Linked DNA regions of Oreochromis niloticus. The protein of the gene in region 1 purifies or fractionates together with the protein of each later gene. This does not show direct contact. Links are inferred from orthologs where the notes say so. Each region holds a gene or a part of one and is shown in the gene's direction. Other genes may lie near its edges.

Region 1 (7,088 bases):
ATGTTACGGGGTCAACAGCTAAAGTAATATGAAAACAACTAACAGCAAATGGAACTGCTGACTTGTGCCTTCTAATATTTTACATACATATAAAAATATCTATGATCCTTTAGACGTTTCGCCAGTATGTCAAATGAAACTCGATGTGCAGCTAACTTAGCTTTTACTTTTCATTTGCCGTTGCAGTAAGTAAACTTAGCGGCCGGCTCACATGATATTTACACCAAGTCCCTGTTTTGTGCACGAGAAACTTTCCTTAAGCGCTGAAAATACTCTGCCGAACCAAGTCCTGGGAATATTATACTGCTTTTTCACCGGAGTCTATCTTTAAACATCGTTATCGTTATTGTTATCATTATCACCATCAGCAGCAAAGACAGCAACAGCAGTCTCATCTAGACAGCCCAGCGGGCAGGACAACTGTACTAGCAAACTTGCTGAGCTTGCTAACCCGAGCTAGCTAGCACAACATTATATCTCAACATTGAATACATTCTTTAGTGTGAGTCTTTATGTTGAATATAGTGTGTTAAATCCTAGAAAGGGCCAACGCATAGTCATGCTTACCCCAAATTTTTAAGCTAAGCAGCGTTTCCAGATAAAGGGAGGAAAGGAAAAGACGATTGTTCAAAATACCGCGCCGAGCGCCATTCCTCCCTGACATTTCACAGGCCGGCCACGCCCTCCACGCGATACGAAACACTGACGTAACACTTAAAGCTACAGCACAATTGCTTTATCAACGTTAGGACTGTTTCTACAAAACTATTTAATGCTTCTTCTTCTTCTTCTTCTTTTTTATAGTTTTTTTTGGGAAAATAAAAACTTTTATTAGTTTATAAAAAACAAACAACACAGTCAGCCTTGGAGCTCGTGTGCTGGACATTACCAAAATCTGACAGAGCACTACCCAGCAGCCTCACTAAGTGCCCAGTCTCACGTACCACTGTCAGGTAGTCAGTAAATAATAAGGTGGTGGACATGTTTACTTACATGTCCCGTAGTTTCTCTTACAGTAACAGTGGCAAAACACATGAAATGCACTTCAGAAAATCAGAGAAGATAAACTTCACCCTGCAGTTGTTACTGCCTAGATGGGAGTAAACTGTCTTCAGCATGGAGATTACGCCATGATTCACTCCCAGATTCGACCTGCTTGCATACTACAGAGTGTCAAGAGATGTTTTCGCCTGAGGTCTTAGGCAGGCCAGCGTAGTCTCTTCAGTACATTCATCATAAGTCTTGATGCATTCTCAATCATCCAGGAAAGTAAATCTCGAAAAGTTGAATCTGATCATCTGGACGTAGCGTTTTGTGGGAGAAACGTTTCGTCACTCATCCAAGTAACTTCTTCAGTCTCAGCTGACTGCAGGTTTCCCCAAACCTAATAAACAGTACATTTGCATAATGACTGAAACCAGCCCACTGAAGGAACAATGGGCTGTGAGGTCAGTTCCTTAATCATAATTATGCAAATTCCCATGACCATTGATCAACAATCACTGACCAAAACCCACTGATCAAAGAACACTGATCAATGGCCATGAGTACCATTCACTTTGAGTTGGGGAATGGCTGCAATCACAGCGTTGTAAGATGGCGAAAGATGTACCCTCAGGCCCCCTCCTCGATTCAGAGATGGTCTTTCCCTCTTCACGTAAATGGCCTCCTTGACTCCGCGCTCAAACCAGCATTCCTCCCTGTCCAGGATGTGTACATCCTCATCATTGAAAGAGTGTCCACTGGCCTGTAGGTGTAAATAGACTGCAGAGTCCTGGCCTGATGAGGTTGCTCTTCTGTGTTGTGCCATCCGCTTCGCTAGAGGTTGTTTGGTTTCCCCGATGTATAAATCCTGACAATCCTCCTGGCACTTAACAGCGTACAGTATGTTACTCTGTTTGTGTCGGGGGACCTGATCCTTGGGGTGGACCAGTTTTTGGCGCAGCGTGTTTTGGGGTTTAAAAGCCACAGAGACCCGGTGTTTAGAAAAAATGCGTCTCAACTGTTCCGATACTCCTGACACATATGGGATCACTACAGGTTTTCGCTTGGGCAGCAGTTGTCCTTCTCTCCTGGATCAGCTGGAGCTTTCTTTAGGTGCCTTTCCCGCTTTGACAAAAGTCCAGCTGGGATAACCACATTTACTCAGGGCCTTCTTGATGTGCTGTTCTTCTGCCTCCCTGGCCGCTGTGTCTGTGGGGATGGTGTTCGCTCTGTCTTGTAGCGTCCTGATGACACCCAGTTTGTGCTCCAGTGGATGATGAGAGTCAGACCTTAGATACTGATCCGTATGTGTAGGTTTACAGTACACGTCAGCCTTTAGATGTCCCCCATTACTGATGGAAATCTCACAGTCTAAGAAGGCTAACCTGCCACTTTTCATATCCTCCCTGGTGAATTTGATGTGCCGGTCCACCGAGTTAATGTGATCTGTGAAATGTAGTACGTGATATGATTAAGGTACTGACCTCACAGCCCATTGTTCCTTCAGTGGGCTGGTTTCAGTCATTATGCAAATGTACTGTTTATAAGGTTTGGGGAAACCTGCAGTCAGCTGAGACTGAAGAAGTCACTTGGATGAGTGACGAAACGTTTCTCCCACAAAACACTACGTCCAGATGAACAGATTCAACTTTTGGAGATTCATCATAAGTGACATGAGGTCCAGTTGATAGTCAATGAGCTCTTATGGTGCTGACTTTTTCTTGTACAAAAGTCGATACATCAGGCATGTCTTTATGTATTTTGCGTAATACTTATATACTTTTTGACTGATGTTGATTATAGATATTTAGTTTTTAACTGATACCACTTGTATATAACTTGACCTCTGGTGTCATATGTATTTTATTACTATTACTATTATCCAACATTATTTAGTTAGGCTATATATTTTAGTTGTATTTTACTTAAACAAACAAACAAACAAACAAACAAACTTTTGACTGGTTTGACAAAAATGTCAGCTCAATTCAATTTTATTTACATAGCATTTAAAAAGTAATAAAAAGAAAACCCATACAGTCAAATGAATCCCCAAGAACAAACACTTGGAAACAGTGGAAAGGAAAAACTCTTTTTTACCAGGAAGAATGTGCCAGAGGGTACAGGGGCAGCCATCCACTGCAACTGGTTTGGAGTGTGGGGAAGAGAAGAGAGCAGAGAGAAAGACAAGGCAAAAGACACGCTGTGGAAGTCTACTAGAGATTAGCTGTAACTAATGATTATATGTAAAGTGCTGTATAAACACACAGAAAGTAAGAAGTAAGTGAAGAAGAAAAGTTATTCATAAAAGTAGAGAGGGTGTCTGTCTCCTGAATGCAATCTGGTAGCTGGTTTCTCAGAAGAGGGGCCTGAAAGCTGAAGGCTCTGCCTTCCATTTTACTTATAAATGCTCTAGGAAACACAAGTAAGCCAGTAACTCGAGTGTGAAATGCTTTGTTAGGGTGATATGGTATTATGAGATCTTTAAGATAAGACAGGGCCTGATTATTCAAGACCTTGTATGTGAGGTGTAGAATTTAAATGGGATTCTGGATTTAACAGGGAGCCAGTGAACGAGAAAAAGCCTTGCTAGTCCCCGTCAGTACTGTTACTGTAGCATTCTGGATCAATTGAAGGCTTTTCAGGGAGCTTTTAGAACAACCTGATAATAATGCTTTACAACAGCCCAGCCTAGAGGCATTAAATACAGAATGTAGTTGTTCAGCATGTCTGTGAGACAGGATATTTTATTGCGCAAACACAAGAAAGCCCCTCATATTTCAGATGATACTAGTGTTAAAAATAGATTGACCCTTTTTTAGGTTAAAACACAAAATTACCAGAAAAAATGTAACCAAATATAGCTATGATTATTTTCAGGAAAGGGATGGATAGTTTATAATACTCACCAAGTTTTGTTTAAAAACATATATTATCACTTAAAATTCAGACAATAAAAAAGTAATACAATAGATCAACATTTAAGCCTGGCCTAAAATAATTATAATCATTCTTTTCCCTCTTCCGCTCCCATGGCTGGCTGCGTCACTTCCTGGCTGAGCTCTGCGCTCTGACTGCAGACGGAAGGCTCTCCCCTGTCTTGGCAGAGGAAACCGGTGTTGACACTTCGACACAGGCTACAATGGCGACCGAAGTGAGGCAGGAGCTTACACAACTGATGAACTCAAGTGGATCTCATAAAGATCTTGCTGCCAAGTATGTAACGTTAGTTAGGGAGAACATCACTCGTTAAAAACTGCAACAGAAACTGCTAGCTAGCAGCTAGATACTGGTCTGCACAAAGCTAAGCTAACGTTAGCTGCATTAGCCATACATCCAGATAAACCAGATAGAAACGCAATCAGTCTGTCAATGTTTGCTTTTAGGTTTTATCCAAAGTGCAAGGAACATAAAAGGAGTGACTACCCACATTAATTGTTGGTAAAATAATTATGAGAACTGTATATTTTATCATCCAAGCTAACTAGCTAACTTGCTGCTCTTTAGCTGCACATTTGGTGCAGAGCACAAGGTAATAATAATAATAATAATGATAATACATTTTATTTGAAAGCGCCTTTCAAAACACTCAAGGTCACTGTACACAGTAGAGTAAAAAGCAACATAAAAGCAAGGAGTTTACACAATCATAAAAGCATAAGACATAAACAAATTTAAAATAGCTTAAATATAGCTTAAATACAGTTTGAACAAAGTGATACTTGACTAGAAAACTGCCAGGACACCCTTTGCGTACGTTCTTACCATCCTATAAACAACATCTTTATTAGGAACACCTATGCAATCCAAGTACAACTGTGCTGTAAAGTCTACTTTTGCAATTTCAGTTTTCGTCAGTATTGTCCAAAAGGTGATAAATCTATTTAAAAGGTATCTTTTAGGTCCTGTTGTATACGTGTTTGTATAAGAAGAAAGTGTTTACTGTATTTTTATCCACAGTATATGCTAATGGTTAATTAAAATGGAAATATTTAAATAGCTGTTTATTAAAGGGGGGTTTAATTCACTCAAGCTTAAATACACTTGTTTTTCACAGAAGTCACAATCAAATGCATCGACTTCTCTTAAGTAAGGGACCACAGACTCATTGCTGTAATTATATGTGAACTGGTGTTTATGTGCATAGTTCTGTTATGTTCAGAGCACTTTAGTGACATGTTGATTACAGATTTATTTATGAAATGATATTTACCGAATGGATTGGGTACTTTTCCTTCGATTTTGGTACTTTTTTTGGTACTCATTTCAAAATAATAAATTCAAAATTTCCTCTCACAAAATAAGTCCATACTTCTCAGTTTGTACATTTTGCTATTTATTTACAACATTTTAGTTGTGTCACAGTGTCATCATAGTGTCTGTGATGTTCTGTCATAGTGTTCGACAATATTAAATATTAATTGTAGACTATTATAGGGTTGTGACACAACGTCTGTTAGATGGTGCAGTTGACAAATGACGGTGCAGTTTTACAACCAAGCAGTCAGAGGGTTTTTTAAATTATTTTTTAAATTCATAATAATATATATGTTATATCATAAGGGAATACAGTATACATGGGATTATGCAGTTTCTCCCACAGATTTACAATCTGTTTCTGGTGAGGGAGGGTCTTAGATGTGCTTTAACAATATTGATGAATATGAATATTATTGGCTGCTTCATCAGTGAGTCTCTTATACTGCAAATGACTTTCAGTTACATCATCCTGGAGATTATTTGGGTGTCAGCAGGCCTTGTTCTGCTCTGTAGCCTTAGTGAGCTCATTGTAGCATCACATGTATAAAGATAAAGATTTGACAGATGCACTTGGGCAGCCATGCCCATACCTTGCCCAAGTAAAGTTAATCTGTGGGGAAAACACTGGGTTTCATCCAATAAGCTAAAATGTATTTGTGTTTCATATTTAAGTTTTAATCCTTCGATTTTCTATGTAAACATTTTAAACTTACCAGCAAAGTTGGAAGGTTTCTGACCGGTGAAATCTTTTGCAGATATCGACAAATTCTGGAAAAGGCCATTCAGTTTACAGATGCTGATCAACTGGAATCCTTGAAGGCCTTTGTAGAAGCAAGTATGGTGTGCCTGTATTCTTCTGTAATATCTGCTTATTCTTCGTCCTTGGTTCATTTTTCAGGAGTATGTCTTACTATTATATTTTACATTCTTGCAGTGGTCAATGAAAATGTCAGTCTCGTCATTTCAAGACAGCTGCTCACTGATTTCTGCACACATCTGCCCAACCTGCCTGACGCCACAGCAAAAGCAGTGTATCACTTCACCTTGGAAAAGATCCAGCCGAGGGTCATTTCCTTCGAGGAACAGGTAAGTTTGCTCCAGCTCTCTGACGCAGTGCAAACGGAGGTAACCATTCAGGTAGTTAAGCTTGAGTATTGTCACTGTAGTGCTTAACTGAGTAATGTTCCTCCATCTCCTCAGGTAGCCTCAATCAGACAGCACTTAGCGACCATTTATGAAAAGGAGGGAGACTGGAGAAATGCTGCCCAAGTTTTAGTTGGCATTCCCCTCGAAACAGGACAGAAGTAAGTAAACTATTGTCACACGCAAGTCTTGATGGTAATTGTTTCTTTAAATCCCTGTTTCTTTTGTTTGTTTTTTAAAATATCTCCTTCAGGCAATATAATGTTGACTATAAGTTGGATACATATCTGAAAATTGCCCGACTTTACTTAGAAGATGATGATCCGGTTCAGGCAGAGGCCTACATCAACAGAGCCTCATTGCTTCAGAATGAGTCCTCTAATGAACAGCTACAGATACACTATAAGGTACATGATCGCTTAGTGATTTCATAGTTACATAGTCTTATCTGTTGTTTTAGTGAAGCTGTGTGGATAAGTGCTTATGCTGCTCTCATTAGGTGTGCTATGCCAGAGTACTAGACTTCAGAAGGAAGTTTATTGAAGCTGCACAAAGATACAACGAGCTGTCTTATAAGTCAATTGTTCATGAAAGTGAACGCCTGGAGGCACTGAAGCATGCTCTGAACTGCACCATATTGGCCTCTGCAGGTATAAGCAGGTGTTACATTTTCAGAAATAATGTAATGAGAACTAATGGAA
Region 2 (8,053 bases), about 39 Mb from region 1:
ACACCTTGTTCCCCACATCTACAAAAGTTCAGTAACTCCATAAACAATGCATTGTACAATTTAACACATATTGATATTATACGAAATTATAACAGACTATATTTGGGATATGGAGATGCAGCAAAATGATGTGGACTGAATAAGAAGGGATTGATTTTTATACATGATGGTAAATAAGTCAATCTGGGTAGCTAGCTAGCATGGTTAAGACTGACTGCTTCATACTTTTGCATTCTCACAGCTCTTTCAGGTAACTGCACATGATGGTGGGAAACAGATATGTTGGCTGTTTCCCAATTCAGGCTCTGCAGCCTTAAAGGCTGCATTTTAAGGCCGATTACGTCACAGCGATGCGACGAAGGCTGTCCCAATTCAAAGGCTGCTCGAAATGCGGCCCTCAAATGCGTCCTTCATTTTCCTGAATTTTAAGGATGGGTCCGTGTATCCTCCACGGCCCAACATATCCCAGACTTCATAGCGCGGCGGTGGGTGTGGATAATTTTGCCGAGAAAAAAAAACGACGGAAGAGGGGCGGCCGAAGAGTAAACTTTTAAAAGTAAATAGTGAATATTATGTCACTTATTTATGTGCACTTTATAACATATACGCCGTTCAATGGTTGACCTTAATCTTACAGAGAATGTGATGATTTTATGGATAATTAAAGTCAGTCATATATCCACAAACACAACAAGCTGAAAGTCAGTGATGCTGCTCGGTTTGCAGTCCTGAATATCACGGCACAAGCAGGATTCACTGCACTGTTAATGTTAGCTATGTTATATTGCTGCCTCTGTTCGGTGGTGTCGAGCCAAACGGACTTTAACGTGTGTTTGAACGAGCTGACGGTTCACTCGTTAAGCTGAAAGAAAGATGCTTTAATCACAGGAGTCACACGTGTCCACTGGACCATCTGGGAACTCTTCTTGTTTAGCACTCGTAATAACACAAACACTTAATTTCTCCTTCTCTTGTGCTGTTTTGTAGCAGTGTGTACACCTGAGACTGTCACCTGCCTGTCTGTCCTGCACTCTCTCTCTTTTTCTTTCTCTCTGATTTTGCAATAAAAGTATGAACATGTATTTATAAGTTACACTTGTGTTTGAATCCTGCAGCTTATCACACATTTGATTTCCATGTGTGACAACTGCAAGTGTCCAGAGAGAGGACAGACTGAGGGACCCACTGCTGCACATCATCTGTGAGGCTTTGCACCCCTGATGATCCACCAGGACAAACTCAGCAGTGTGTGAGGAAGAGGAGGAGGAAGAGCCAGCAGCAGCTGACAGATGGAGAGAATAGACAGACTGTTCCCTGTTTGTGAAGGACTGCTAGAAAAGTTTAAAATAACTAATTGTCTGTCCTGAATCAGTCTTAGTAGGTAATGTTCAAATAATTTTATCATTCCAGTGTTTTCAGTGTGGGAGAAAGTACTCAGGGCCTTCAAGTTAAACACGATGAAAGGCAGAAACAAGTTTAATATTCAGAAACCTAAAGTATGTATCAGCAGCAGAATGGAGCTAAAAATAAATGTTTGTTTCAGTTCTATGAAGCTTTGAGTATTTTGGATTAGTAGTACTGCTGTGTTTGTTGCATCATATTGCTGTCATTGTTTATATGCTTTATATATTCTGAGGTAAGTTGATCTATAGTGTTACATGATATTCTATAAGGATGTTATGTGTTTGTATACTTTTTGCCCAGTTTGACCCATTTAGCAGAAGTCAGCCTGTTTAAGGCTCTAAGTCAGGGGTCCCCAATCTCAGTCCACGAGGGCCGGTGTCCCTGCAGGTTTTAGATGTGTCCTTGATCCATCACAGCTGATTTAAATGGATAAATTACCTCCTCAACATGTCTTGAAGTTCTCCAGAGGCCTGGTAATGAGCTAATCATGTGATTCAGGTGTGTTGACCCAGGGTGAGATCTAAAACCTGCAGGGACACTGGCCCTCGTGGACTGAGATTGGGGACCCCTGCTCTAAGTCATACAGAATAGATATCAAAGCAGTTATGACATGGTCTGATTTTCTCACCCAATAAAGGAATATTTTATATATCAGTCTACTCTTCATTTTATCAGAAACAGTTATCACAGCTCGTACATTTTCTTTTTATACATATATGTAAGCACTGAGCCAAATTTAGTAATGCCAACATACTGAAAGAACAATATTTGTCTCTTATATATAATACATCTATATATAACCTGTCAAAGATGCTTGTCTTTGAGTGAAGATTTAAGGTGATAGGAAATATAAATAACTGCAACTCGAATCTTTACTGAAGCTCAGTATTTGACACAGTTCAAACTCACTGCTGTAATAACTAATAATGATTAATATAATAACTATAATATTGGCCATATTATATTTACATTACCAAAGTGAGATGACTTTAGTCTCATGAACAACATAAGCTAATTGTTATTTACTAGCTAATCTTAAAATGACTGTTCAGTACAGATATGAGTGCCAACAATCATGTTTTACAATCCTGTGGTCTCAGCCTCAGATACATATCAAATCACACAAAGCTCATGTAGAAACAAATGAACAAAATATGTTCTCCTTCATTTCTGTCAAACAATGCTGTATGAAACTTTTCCAGCGGATAGTATCATGGTCGTTAAGGCTGCGTACTTTAAGGCTGCAGACCCTGAATTGGGATACAGCCATAGACACACCTAGTGGTGTGGAACAAAAAAAACTAAAAAAAAATGGTGGTCTTCAAGGCATTTGTAGCTATGAGAGGTGATAGCAAAAGTCACAACACACTGCGAAGTGTGCCCCCACCTGTCCAACATCACTACATCTCATGTAAAATTACACAGACAAGCATCAGGGCAAAACAGGCCCAGTCCTGGCACTCTATCAATGGAGGGAAAAAACAAACATGGAATAATTTGTTTTTAACAGTTGTAGAGTTTTATGACACAGGAGTAAGCTACGAAATTTCCAACGATGCAAACAATATTTATGACTGGATTCAGTTATTGTTGGTTTCAGTCTTTATGCAGCTTTTCCTGACAATAACAGAAACACACAATCTCTCTACCTTTAATCAATAACTACTCCTAACTTATCTGATTTCTTACCTCTTTGTATTCTCCATTGCGGTTTGTTTTGAAGCCCTCCGGGGTGTGCATCTGGATGGTGGTACTGCTGATCACCTCAATGCAGCATTCCTCATCCTCAGCACCCAGGGGTCGCACACGGCAGTATACCTGAAGAACAAAATGACACACATTAAAACAAGCTCTAACCATACATTTTGAGCTTGTTACTACTGCAAAGATATTTAATTTGTCCAAGAATATCTGATAAACGATTTAAAAAAAACAACAAAAAAAAAAAAACAACACCAAACAGACTTTGACATTCTTGGATGCAGTAGGATTATTGCTACCATTTGTTTCAGCTTATTGCCACTTGGTGAAACTTCTAAAGATACTTTTCTTAAGAAACTGAGCAGTCTTGTTATTCACAGACAGGGTCTTTAAACTGTTGCTTTTATTTTTTTTAAGAAAAAAAAAAAAGGGGGAATTTTGGTTGGCCCAAAAAACTGAGGCGAGATAGCAATCGAAACTTTTATTACTTCTTCTTTCTGTTACTCACTTTAGGGATCACCACAGCAGATCATCTACCTCCATCTCACCCTGTCATCACCCAGCATCAACTATGTCACACCTCACATCTTCTGCATGTCTTCATTCATTTCATCCATGGATCTTCTCCTTGCCTCCAAACAGCTCAACCTGAGCTGTCAGTCTGATGTACTCATTTCTATTCTTGGCCATTCTGGTCACTCTCAATGAAAATCTTAACATCTATAACTCTGCCAAGTGCCAACTCCAGCACTGCCTCCCATATTTTTTGTCAGTGCCAATGTCTCCAAACCATACATTATAGCAGTAAAACCTGCTATCTTCAAGTTTAAAACCTCAGTTAGATGGCAGTCAGGTGGCACGCCTCTCAATAAAACTCTTCCAGATCAAAAAGTCTAAATCTGTTGCCTTTGAGGAAGAAAACTGATGGCTGTAGAGCGAAACTGTGGGCTCACAGTCAGGTTGACGAGAAAGTGTCCAGAAGAATTTTCACTCTGTCAGTAAATTACTCCACTCTAGGTTCAAACACTCCCTCACTGGAATGTTTTCTCTTCCACCCACTGGAATGTATGAGATTCACATTTGTACTGTTTGCCGAGTTGACCTTTAAGAATTCAGGGACACTCACCCCAACTGGGTCCGTCTGGTTGCTGGAGGGTTTTTTTGGAGGAGGCCTGCGGGGGGTTTTACCCTTCCTGTAAAAGTAAATAAATACAAAGTCATTCACAATTCAAACAGAAGCGTAAGCGTTAGCCATTAATGACTATGTGATGGCTTAACAAAGCCACTTGCTAGACGGCTAATTAGCCCCCTGCTAACGGTAAAGCAGAGAGTCAACGTCCGCTCGTAACTCCTTAAACTTAAGTTCGCCATTTTGTGATAGTGTAAAACGCATAAACAATACAGCCTACCAGCGACATATAGAACATAAACATGTACTTACAGATGTCTCGTCATCGTAGCGTGGTGCCCGTGCTGGTTTCACCGTTTCTGTTTATCTAGTTTTGAATCTTCCCTCCGCCTCAAAGCCTCAAATCAGCGACTTTTTCAAAACGGACCCGAAGCAACCAATGGGATCTGGCAACGGCAAGCACGTGTTTCCGCCTTTACTTCCGAGCCTCTTACGCCTCAAAAAAAAAAAAAAAAAAAAAAAAGTTGGCAAATGCAGTAAAATATAATATACAAACTTGTTTCAGCCACTTTCATTCTTCATCTTCATAAATAGTCCTTGATGTCTGCTACCAGAGAAATGTAAATCCTTTCTTTGTTTTACACAATTCTTAAATACTTTATGAAAATTATTTAGTTTAATAATTTAACATGACATTGACATAACGTGACATTTTTTATTTATTTATCGCAATCTTCTGTGAGCATTTCGTTGCCGTTACCTTACTTTGCAGTTTGAGTTGTTTGAACTCCAAACATGGTGCACATTGAGTTTTCATGGTGGATCTACAGTGCCACCCACCGTTCACCAGCTTTAACAGACACAAGTTACAAAACAGACATTTTTCAGCACATAGTCACGTGTACTGTCGTGTTATGCAAACAGAGACGTTCTTGCTGTTAAACTGCAGCGTTAAAGCACTGAACATCGCAGGTAAGCAGCAATATGAACATTAGAGGTGCAGACAGGTGCACAATCGTCCGCTTTGTGACGAGTAACTGTTGCTTTGTGTGTGTGTTTACAAGGAAGAAATGAAAAGCAAGCCCACGAAGTCAGCCGCAGCTGGATCAAAGAATAAAGTGAAGAAAACACCTGAGGGGGTCTCCAGTCCAACTCTCTCCAGAAAACTACGAGACAAAAAAAATGGCGAAACGTCAAAATCAGGTATGAGGCTCTGAAAACACCGTCAGTCCAGTGACAGCACTGTCTTTGTGACACTTGAATGGGTTCGTGTGTCTTCTAGGGACTGCTCTCAAGTCTGCAGGAGTTCAGAAGAGAGGTTGGGACGGAAGCATACTGCACTATATCTACAAAAGCACTCTGGGCCAGAGTTTGCACTCACAGATGAGACAGGTAAGAGAGCCTAATGTGGTGCTGGCCCCAGTGCTGCCCAAAATACTCACACACTGTTCCAATAGTAATTAAAAAAAAAAAAAAAAAAAAAATCTAATCCAGGGACATGTGTAAGTTCACAAGTCATAGTCCATCTGTTACCTCTCGTTTCCTCTTACTGGATTTATTCAGTGCAGGTGTGAATCTAGCTCTTTTGTCTCCTCAGTGTCTCCAGGAACCTTTCGTTCGCTCTCTGTCATCCTATCATTTCCACGGTGGCAGCAGCCCCTTCGACCGCAGGATCACCTGTCTTGAGTGGCATCCGACACATCCTACTACTCTGGCTGTGGGGTCCAAGGGTGGAGACATTTATCTGTGGGACTTTGAGGCGCCTGCCAAGAAGACCTTTATTCAAGGGGTGAGTTCCTGTTTAATGGTTTTGATTTGTTCTTTCGATTGATCAAAAAGACATTCGGCAAACTGATTTTAACAGAGGTCAGATGCTTCTTCAGGCTGTGGTGAATTTCAGAGCGGTGCGATGTAGTTGTACTTAATGAAACACTGTTGTTGGCTCTCTGGTTAGATGGGGGCTGGAGACTCAGTGACAGACATGAAGTTTAACCACTTAAATCCCACTCAGCTGTTCACCTCATCTATGGGGGGTACGACAGCACTTCGGGATTTCAGTGGGACAACGCTAACAGTGTTTGCCAGCACAGAAACACTGAAGTAAGACTGGAGTGTCCACTTTTTTTTCTTCTGTGCACTAAAATAAAAAAGCGTTAGGGGTTAGTCTAGCATCAGTCTTCTTACAGAGAGTTCAGAGATCTCTCAAGGGAACTTGTTGGGTGCTGGTGTGAACATCTGTGTGGTAGTTGTAGTCATAACTGCTGCCTGGTGAAAGGCCTACATTTGTATTTGTGTGTGTAGAACGGAGCAGGAGACTTTATCGGAGGGATGAAGTTTTGCCCCACGGACCTTTCTAGAGTCTATGTGGCCTCTGGCGAGGGCACACTGACCGCACAGAGTTTTGAGGGCCGCGCACCCACCGTTTTGTCCAGAACTCAAGACTGCGGCCACGATCACCACAATGTTTGGTGAGAAACTCCCAAAGAAGACTGATGCTCGGCATTATGAAAAATGGAAAGTTTTTTCATTTCCCTCTACTGTGTCTGTAGGACTCCTGCTGCCACATTGTTTTAATAGCATTAAAAAGGTTTCGTATTTCTATTCCTATTTTATGAAATAAAATTTGTCAGGGCTATAATACAAAAAATGAATGCTATTTGAAATCTAGTAGGACACTGGAGGGCGCATCCTCGACCAAGGCCCATAACAGGCCATCTAATAGAAGGTGATCCAGATCTTCACCAGTATTTCAGTGTGTTCTTCCTTTGCCCATGTTCCCGTCTTAGAGCGCACACCTCCACCTTTCTTCTTCCCTTTAAAAGACTAGGACCAAAGAGAAGAGACACCATGCTCCAAATTTAACTACTGTCACGATTGTGGAAAAATGGTTCTACATTACTTCAGTAGAGACTGCTTCTACAATCTGTAGATTCAGGTGAAGAGTAACTGGGTCATGTCCTGCAAAAACCATTCTCTTTAATTCATTAAAAAAAATAAATGAAGTTTAATTCATCTCCATAGTTTCCAGTGTCAGACTCAATCCCTTTGTAGGCAGATTTCAAAAAGCATGACTATCTGCATGGGTAGACATCAGTAGAGGTAAATGAGAAAACACAGGTAGCTGAGAGCATTGTGCGTATATAATGTTATCTCTTGTTCAAGTGTCACATAGTATATTACATCCTATTTTGAATTAAAGCTATGATTTATGGAATACATTATTTTGTATGTTCTTATATGTAGCTCTTTTCTTTCATAGTTTTTGGTACTGCTGCGTTGACGTGTCTGTAAGCCGGCAGATGCTCGTGACAGGAGACAATGCGGGGCAGCTTTTACTTCTGGGTTTGGATGGCCAAAAGGTGTGTGCCTCTTTCTTAATGAGGACTTCCACTGTTTTTTTTATAAATTAAAGGATCAGTTATAGTTCTTATTTAACACAGAGCACTTTTTCTTTCGGCCCTTCCCTTTAGGGGTCGCCCAAGCCAATCATCTGCTTCCATACCACTCCTATTGTGCAAGTCTTCCTTTGCTACATCCAAAACCTCCTCTGTGGCAATTTAATGTTAATTGATTTGCTCTGTTTTAATGTTTCAGATTTTCAGTGACAAATTGCACAAAGCCAAAGTGACCCACGCAGAGTTCAACTCCCGATGCGACTGGTTGCTGGTGACGGCCTCAGTTGACCACACAGTAAAGCTCTGGGACTTGAGGAACATCAAGGACAAGAAAAGCTTCCTCTACGAAATGCCTCACGAGAAAGCCGTCAACTCAGGTAGCACTTCCTCATAGAAAAACCTCTCATGCTTACTACTTTAAAAA

What was found. The genes of interacting proteins can lie anywhere in the genome.
Region 2: the proteins of cops4 (region 1) and ddb2 purify together in Homo sapiens (affinity purification with mass spectrometry; 7 studies listed by BioGRID and IntAct, counting the BioPlex papers as one, with this or other methods). This does not show direct contact. The link is inferred for Oreochromis niloticus from reciprocal best matches to the Homo sapiens genes COPS4 and DDB2.

Annotation. Positions count from the first base shown.
Region 1 is NC_031972.2:11,872,671-11,879,758, forward strand, and holds the start of cops4 (COP9 signalosome complex subunit 4), read left to right. Parts: upstream 1-4,023; 5' UTR 4,024-4,126; coding exon 4,127-4,200; intron 4,201-5,999; coding exon 6,000-6,079; intron 6,080-6,178; coding exon 6,179-6,330; intron 6,331-6,444; coding exon 6,445-6,548; intron 6,549-6,640; coding exon 6,641-6,794; intron 6,795-6,886; coding exon 6,887-7,037; intron 7,038-7,088. UniProt on the Homo sapiens protein: Component of the COP9 signalosome complex (CSN), a complex involved in various cellular and developmental processes.
Region 2 is NC_031972.2:51,231,801-51,239,853, reverse strand, and holds the start of ddb2 (DNA damage-binding protein 2), read left to right. Parts: upstream 1-5,046; 5' UTR 5,047-5,049; coding exon 5,050-5,206; intron 5,207-5,298; exon of another isoform or gene 5,299-5,302; coding exon 5,303-5,437; intron 5,438-5,516; coding exon 5,517-5,626; intron 5,627-5,831; coding exon 5,832-6,023; intron 6,024-6,188; coding exon of another isoform or gene 6,189-6,334; intron 6,335-6,535; coding exon 6,536-6,702; intron 6,703-7,493; coding exon 7,494-7,593; intron 7,594-7,828; coding exon 7,829-8,006; intron 8,007-8,053. Other genes in the region: kinesin-like protein KIF23, read right to left, coding at 3,094-3,222, 4,232-4,298, 4,547-4,560.